Linked DNA regions of Drosophila melanogaster. Each later gene encodes a partner of the first gene's protein in a complex. Each region holds a gene or a part of one and is shown in the gene's direction. Other genes may lie near its edges.

Region 1 (4,238 bases):
AAGACATAGACATGGAAAAGACCCTTGAGAAAACGTCGAAAAACATTGTAAAATAGCAAAACAGTCTGAGCAACTTGCTAAATACGAAAACGAAATCATGGCCATCGAATCCGACCCGTTGACATGTGTTAGTTATGGAAAACCAAAGTTTTCATAATTCCAAAATATACGCGAATTAAATAAGTTCATGAGTGTGTAGCACTCAGCTTGGCTCAGACAAGTGCGCAATCTTGTTAGAAAAATCGCGACCATATTTGGCGAAAATAGTATGGAAAAGTTTAATCCGGGCTGAGGGGCATAGACGACTGGGTTTGGTTTACACGGGCAGAAATTGGCTTTATATAAAAAATATATTTTAGTTATTTGTGACGGGTTGTTGGAGAAGTTTTACTTCTTAGGTATGTAGCTCATTGTAGGCTCATCAGGTTCAATACTAAATGAAAACCTTGGTCTTTTAATTGTAATGATATTATTTCCCATTGGGCAAATCACTCAACTAAAAGACTGTGCGTAGGGTGCATTGCAAACTGAAATATAATCTATTGGGAAAGGGGTGTGGGACTATCCCAGTCTCTCGGGAGGGGGGGGGGGGGTGCCTCTGATGACTCAATTGGCGCCGGCTCCTTGTGAATGAAGCCGCAGCGATCGCGAACTGGTTGGAGCTGTGGGCAGCAAAAGGAAATCTTCGCCGCGAGCTACTTGCCTTGCCAAAGCCTGCAATTGGCCAAGGTGATCCGGATCGAATGTCGTGTGCATGTGAACAGCGTTTTGGCGCTCTTCAACATTGTCAGTGTCAATTATTTGAAAACCAAAGAGACGGCGGGGACCTTGAACTTATCGTCGAACCCCATGCAAATGGTGGGCATTAGGCGTGCGCCGGAAAACAATGTTTTGCAATTATTCAGAACTTGCTCGCACTTGGCAGGGACAACAAATCTTTCGATTTGGATTCAAGGACAACTATTTTCAAAGACGACACCAGCTGCACAAATTGATTGACATAGGCGCCTAGTGTGTGTGGCTAAAATAAAGTGCTGTGTGCCAAATTGAAAATAACTTTTTTCGATTACAAAATGTTATGTTTTAAATATTCTTGTTAATAGTTTAGCTTAAATTCAATTATTTTTAAAACTATCGCCAAGTTATTTTAATAAAATATAACTACATTGCATATGATAAGAAATCGGTGTTCAAATTTTGCGCCAATTTTTTTATTATCATATAACTGGTCACACTTCGTTCTCAACTTGCAGTGTAACCGCATGTGCCAAAATGTCATAACACAAAATAACAACAATGTCTCTCGTGGATAAATTAAACTATTACAGCACACGAAAATCGTTCAAATATGGCATACCCTTCCTCATCATGATGGTGGCTGGCTCCTTTGGACTGCAGCAGTTCTCCAACCTCAGGCTAGCATTCAAGAATCTCCGGGAAATCCTTAGCTAACTCATGAGTCTCCTCCCTTTACAGGTATCAGTACGCCAAGAAGCAGCCGGTAACGCCGGAGGAGATGAAAAAGTACGGCGTAAGCATGAAAAACCGCAAGGATGTGACGTTGGAGTCGGAGTACGACAAAGTCAAGTCCGTGGACATAGAGAACTGGGAGAACAAACGCGGTCCACGTCCCTGGGAGGAGCAGGAAGATCAGCCGACGACAGCGAAGCACTAGACTTGATGCCTTCAAAATCATTAAGAAAACAACCCATAAAAACAGACTGTTTGATGTACATAGTCATAAATAAATCAATATTGTTAATATCTACCAAGACAATACCCTGTAAATAATCGATAAGTGCATCGGTACTGTCCCATCCGATAGCCCTATGCGTCACGCACGGTCACTCTAGGATTTGTTAATTATCTATTATTGAAAATAAAATGGGAGAAGTAAAACCCGCTAAAGTGGAAAACTATAGCACGGGGACCGATGCAAACACTCTGTTCGTGGATGGTAGGGCAATAACTTAAGCCCAACTATAAATCAAATTAAACACATTGGCGCCATTTGCAGGGGAACGGGTTCTGTGCTTCCACGGACCGCTCATCTACGAGGCCAAGGTTCTGAAAACAAAACCCGATGCGACGCCGGTTGAGTACTACATCCACTACGCGGGCTGGAGTAAAAAGTGAGCAAAGCTACTAGTATGAACACCGATCTGCATGAAAGCCATTTCATTTTCAGCTGGGACGAGTGGGTGCCCGAGAACCGAGTCCTCAAGTACAACGATGACAACGTCAAGCGACGTCAGGAACTGGCTCGCCAGTGCGGCGAGCGCTCCAAGAAGGATAATAAGAAAGGTGAGTTCAGTAACAAACGCAATTCCTGGAGTTGTAAATTAAGGTGTTTACATACCAGGCAGCGCCAAGGCCAAGAAAATGGAACAGATGCGGAACGAATCTCGTGCCTCGACGCCGTCTAAGGATAGCAACACCTCGCAATCGACCGCTAGCAGCACACCAACAACTAGCGCCGGACCGGGAAGCAAATCGGAAGCCGGGAGCACTGGCACCACGACTACTAACAGCACCGCCAACTCTACAACCAGCCGGGCCCACCGAAAGTCCACACAATCGACGCCATCCACAGCAAGACCTGGCACGCCGAGTGATAAAAAGGAAGACCCCGCCGCAGCTGAGACCACTGAGGAAGAGGGGCCGGTGGCGCCGAAAAAGAAAAGAATGAGCGAACAACGGCCTTCTCTTACGGGAAGCGATGTAGCAGAAAAGCCGTTGCCGCCCACTACCACTCCATCCACACCCACCACGGAGCCGGCACCGTGTGTGGAAAGCGAGGAGGCCTACGCAGCTAAGGTGGAGGTCAAGATTAAGATACCCGACGAGTTAAAGCACTATCTGACCGACGACTGGTATGCGGTGGTGCGGGAGCACAAACTGCTGGAGCTGCCCGCCAAGGTTACCGTGCAGCAGATCTCTGAGCAGTATTTGGCGCACAAGAAGTCCGTGAAATCGACCAGTGCCAGCAAGGAGGTTGCCATAAACGATGTACTCGACGGAATTGTAGAGTACTTCAATGTAATGCTGGGCTCCCAGTTGCTGTACAAATTCGAACGCACCCAGTACGCGGATGTGATGCAGAAGCATCCGGACACACCGTTGTCCGAGCTTTACGGATCTTTTCACCTGCTGCGTCTGTTTGTCCGCCTTGGCTCAATGCTCAGCTACTCTGCGTTGGATCAGCAGTCCATGCAGAACCTACTCACGCACGTGCAGGATTTCCTTAAATTCCTCGTAAAGAACAGCTCAATATTTTTCAGCATGAGCAACTTTATCAACGTTGATCCCGAGTACGTGCGAAATGCACAGTAAGCAATAATCTTTTCTTGACTTGAAGTAAATATTTCATCAAAACAGTTTGCAATAATTCGGTGGTTGCTCTCAATTTGCTCCCAAATTGTAAATTAAAACACAAGTAAAATGTTTTGTCATAAGGTAATAAATGTCAGCACCTTGTATTAGTTCTTCGGTTTCGCTTTTGTGTCTTCATCATCGCCCTCGGTCTCCGTCTCGCTACTACTACTACTACTGCTGGTGGGATAGAAGTCGCGAAGATCCCTAGGCTTATCCCGCTCCTGCTGTTCCTTCTCCAGGTACTCATTCTGCACCTTAACAATCTCATCGCTGCTCTTGCAGGCTGCATAGGCATTGAGAAGCTTGTCGTTTAGCTCCAGAAAGGCATGACCCCATGAGAACTTGCCCAGAAACCAGCGAGCCTCTTCCGTGAATCCACAGATGTATAGAGTGGCGGCTATGGCCTCCACGCAGCTGAGCTTGCAGGGCTTTCCGTAGTTGATGGGATTGGCGGCCACCAAGAAGGGCAGCAGTCGCGGATGTGGGCTGCGCATCCTTCCAAAGGGCGTCTCGTCCAGCTTGGCCCACGAGCAGTCGATCACGGCCACGCCCGAAGAGGCCACCACATCGCGATCCAGCGGACTTACACACAACTGGCCAACGGGCGAGAGGACAAGGCCAGGAAACTTCTGACCCAGTCGAAGATTTGAAATGAGTCCTAGGCGTGCCAGTTTCCTGCCCGAACACTTCTTTGGATCGCAGTGGTTGAGGTCCCACATGGCCACCGCAAACTCCGGCGGCTGGCCGAGATCATTTTGGGCTCCATCTCCCGAGGATTCCGAGTCGGAACTTTCATTTTCGCTGCTACTGCTGCTGGCCAGCTCGTTGGCCTGCTGAGCAAAGCTGCGGGCACAATTGTGATT
Region 2 (4,065 bases), on another chromosome or scaffold:
CCCGGAAGAGCGTAAGGAATATGTTGGCATGCCTCACAGGACTGTTGATATAGTGTTGCTACACACAGGAGGAAGAAAGGTCAGTGAAACAATGGGACAACTATCAATTGTTTTCGTCCTTACAAGCAACAAACGCGCACTACGCTTCAGACTTTGCTGCCATTCCTTGGGCAGGTGGTTATAGGGTGCATTGAGCGCATTGTAAGTGGCAAAGAACTCCTGCTGGTTGATCTGCAGAGGATCCGCTGTCTTCCGGACAGCTGCTGCACTCAGAGCCCGCTCCATATACTCGACCACAAACTTGGTGTACTGCTTTAGCTCCAGGTTGGGCAGCATCAGGTTCTGCCACACGCGAACGCCCTCGTTTAGGGACTGATAGCCACCTTGTCCAATTGCCCACAGGATGCTCAGGCAGATGTTGCTACGGTTCTGATAGGAGTTCCTTAGCAACGCAGTCTTGGCCAGGTTCCTAGAACAAATGTTCGGCCAGTTTTGACCGATCAACTGTAGGATGAGCTTGTAGCCTGCCACTGTCTGATTGTTGTTTAGATCCGTTGACATGCTATCCAGCAGGGAGTAGAAGAAATACTCCAGGTTTTGTTCGCCCACACTGCCCAGAAACTCCACAATTGAGTACTTGAGCGAGGCGCTGGCCAAATTGCTGGGATACTGAGCCGAGCGGCCGGAGAAGATGGGATCGCAGTCATAGGACAAGGCTTCATTGAAGTATAGCGCAATCTGGGGGACAACGATAGGTGAGCAAATATTTAGGCACATTTCCTTTAGAAACATACATGGCTTAACCAGCGCAGCTCGGAGCCAGGACAACTGAGCTTCACCTGCTCCAGTTGGGCAGCAAAATCATCCCGGGTGATGTTTCTCAAGGCCAGCTCCAGAGTCTTTGGCTTCGATGCGGCTGCCGACGTGGTCCTTTTTTGGGTAGAGGCATTCTTTGCGGTGTGCTTTTTAACTGGCGACTTATTGGCTTTTGAGGAAGATGAGGCACTTGAACTAGATTTCGCAGGGGAATGGGACTTGCTGTTGTTGTTGTTGCTGCTGCCGAACAAATTGCGATACCGCTGAGTTGGCACTGCGAAGTGAATAAAATGGCAGGGGCAAACATGTAATCGCATTGCAAGGTGCACCTTTTAAAAGATTCTTACACAGCTCCTCCAGTTTGGGCAACTGGGCCGCGATGCGCTTCTGCTCGTTGTGTGCAGACACCTTCTTGTCCAGATTCTTTTGCTTGCGCGACTTGGAGACCACCTCCCATTGTTCCGACATGTTGCGAGCAGTCTTTTTATCGATGGTATTAAATTAAATCAGAAAATGCAGGCAGCCGGCAGAATAAAAAGCAACAAGCCAAGAGTGTGGCCAGCGCAAGTGTAAAGTAATGTGGTCTACTTTCGGTAGTTGAATTACCGACCGCTTTTTAATGTGATTTTAAAGCAGCTGCCTGCTTTTTGTTGTGATACATGTAATAGATAAATAAATAAATTTAGCTATGTTTTAAATGTGTTTGAATAACTGCCAATGCAGGAGAAACCATTTTCTTTACCAGGGCTGAAACGCATACCAAAGTTGTAAAGCCTCTGCGATATATACTATGTTTGCTACATTGGTCACACTGCTCTGCTTGTTTACATTTACAAATTGTAAAATATTATTATTTAATAGCTGCTTTAAATCATAGTTTCTATATATAAATAACAAAAATGGCTGCCTCGCGATCACGGCGCAACAATGCCGGCAACAAAATAGCTCATTTGCTCAATGAGGAAGAGGAGGACGACTTTTACAAAACGTCCTATGGTGGATTTCAGGAGGACGAAGAGGATAAGGAATACGAGTGAGCACTAATCATTTGAATAAATTTAAATGCTCAAGCCATATAAAATTCACTCTGCAGGCAAAAAGACGAAGAGGAAGATGTGGTTGACTCCGACTTCAGTATCGATGAGAACGACGAGCCCGTTTCGGATCAGGAAGAGGCGCCCGAGAAAAAGCGGAAACGCGGTGTCGTTAACACAAAGGCTTATAAGGTGCGAACCATTCTTAAAATGCGATAAAATCCTGTGATTACTGAATGTGTTTAAATGGTACATATGATTTCCGCAGGAAACCAAGCCTGCAGTCAAAAAGGAAACAAAGGCAACGCCGGCCCTGCACAAGAAACGACCTGGTGGTGGGGTAACGAAACGGCGGCCACGTCCACGCTTCACGGTCCTCGATTCCGGCCGCAAATCCATACGCACTTCCACGGCCATCAAGACACAGGCTACCAAAATACGCCTCAAAGAGTTGGACGATGCCCGCAAGCGCAAAAAGAAGAAGGTGCGCGTGGAGGACTACATGCCCACGCAGGAGGAGCTGCTGGAGGAGGCCAAAATAACCGAGGAAGAAAACACTAAATCTTTGGGTGGGTATCTAAAGCAACCAAGGAAGCAGCTATTTTACAATTTGCTGTTGCATTCACAGAGAAATTCCAGAAAATGGAGCTGGAGAAGAAGAAATCACGTCCCACCAAGCGCACGTTCTCCGGACCCACGATACGCTACCACTCACTAACCATGCCAGCGATGCGAAAGCCCACTCGCGGAGCAAACCCTGCGGTCGATTCAAAGGATCTTGCTGGGAAGTGCGAACGCACATTCGTTACAATCGAGAACGATTTCAATGACAAGGTGTTTCAAAGCCTCTTCCGCCACAAGGCGCCTCCCAAAGCCAGCAATGGCATCTGTCCAATCACCAGGCTGCCAGCCCGTTACTTTGACCCGATCACACAGCAGCCATACTACAGCATCCAGGCCTTCAAAATTCTGCGCGAAGCCTACTACATGCAGCTGGAACAGCAAGGCGGCGGCAGCGAGCAACCCGAACTGGCCAAATGGCTGGAATGGCGCAAGCTGGTCAAGGAGAATCGTCTGAAGGCTTCGGCAGCTGCCAGCAAAAACGGAGATAACTAATAATGCTATCAATTTTATAGTTCATTAAGCTATACGTATTTTTCGAATAAAAAGGTATAAGAAATCACAAACTACTCTTTGGACAACCCTCGTCAATTTCAGGCAGTACCAAACGATTACCTAATATATTTCATACAATGGCGACAATGGAAAAGTAGTACATAGGGTATTTCCCAAAACGTTATCTTTAAAAAGTATTTATAATCAACGCACAGTCTGTTTTGATTTTATTTATCAGCAGCATCCGGTTTATTAACTTAAGAAGTTGATAAAACAGTTTACACAAAAGAAAGTTTATCTTGCTAATCCAATTTGTATATGTAAAACCCATTTATTACCTTTTAGTATCTAATTTTAATTGCCGCTCTATTTAAAAGTTTAGTTGTCTAAATAATAAAAGCGTCGCAGTCTTCTATTAAGATTATTCAAAAGAATTGTTTCGCTTAATTTGCGTCAAATTGATAAGCACACAGCCTCTCTTTGCAATATATAACAAAATCTGGAGGAAATGCGGTTGTTCCGACACACAATAACTAATTAATAAGTATGAGACATTACATCACATAAATTATTAACCCATTGTATTCTCTATTTATAATCTATGGGCGAAGTATTGTTCATTTCCGAATGAAATTGTTTTTCAATCCTAAACTCTTACAGGGAATTAGTTGAGTGGGCCCTGCCGCAACCTTGTCGCATCTGTATGTTTTTGTCGACTTATCAAAATCAACGCACGCGCTGGCTATTTGAATTGTCGGAACGGGAACGGGACAAGGTATTGTGTGAGCAAGATTTAGTCATACCCGTGAGCTTAGATCAAACGAACGTCGTGCGTTTAAACGGAGAAATGAAGAGCTGTGCGGCGATTGGAGTCCTTCTGGTACTGCTACTTCAGTACGAAGTGGTTAGGACGGACAGCGATAGCAGCGACAGCAGCAGCAGCAGCAGTGGAGAGAAGAAGCACAAGCACTCCAAGACGGAGCACAAGTACAATTATCCTGCATATCCTAATCCGGGCTATCCTCCGTATCAAGAAATGGGAGGCTATCCTTCATATCTCTACAATCCGTACATGCCGTATCCTCCGTATCCTCAAATG

Evidence for each region.
Region 2: MRG15 (region 1) and YL-1 share a complex: the UniProt entries of both Drosophila melanogaster proteins name them as parts of the tip60 chromatin-remodeling complex.

What each region holds. Positions count from the first base shown.
Region 1 is NT_033777.3:15,275,680-15,279,917, reverse strand, and holds MRG15 (MORF-related gene 15), read left to right. Parts: upstream 1-1,808; 5' UTR 1,809-1,884; coding exon 1,885-1,957; intron 1,958-2,017; coding exon 2,018-2,132; intron 2,133-2,188; coding exon 2,189-2,304; intron 2,305-2,347; coding exon 2,348-3,333; 3' UTR 3,334-3,478; downstream 3,479-4,238. Other genes in the region: l(3)neo43 (lethal (3) neo43), read left to right, coding at 1,297-1,415, 1,477-1,675; CG4338 (uncharacterized protein), read right to left, coding at 3,480-4,238. UniProt on the Drosophila melanogaster protein: Part of the Tip60 chromatin-remodeling complex which is involved in DNA repair. Upon induction of DNA double-strand breaks, this complex acetylates phosphorylated H2AV in nucleosomes and exchanges it with unmodified H2AV.
Region 2 is NT_033779.5:10,968,839-10,972,903, forward strand, and holds YL-1 (YL-1), read left to right. Parts: upstream 1-1,604; 5' UTR 1,605-1,715; coding exon 1,716-1,849; intron 1,850-1,909; coding exon 1,910-2,042; intron 2,043-2,118; coding exon 2,119-2,419; intron 2,420-2,478; coding exon 2,479-2,966; 3' UTR 2,967-3,255; downstream 3,256-4,065. Other genes in the region: Tmem214 (transmembrane protein 214), read right to left, coding at 1-58, 124-738, 795-1,090, 1,164-1,284; CG16743 (uncharacterized protein), read left to right, coding at 3,670-4,065. UniProt on the Drosophila melanogaster protein: Part of the Tip60 chromatin-remodeling complex which is involved in DNA repair. Upon induction of DNA double-strand breaks, this complex acetylates phosphorylated H2AV in nucleosomes and exchanges it with unmodified H2AV.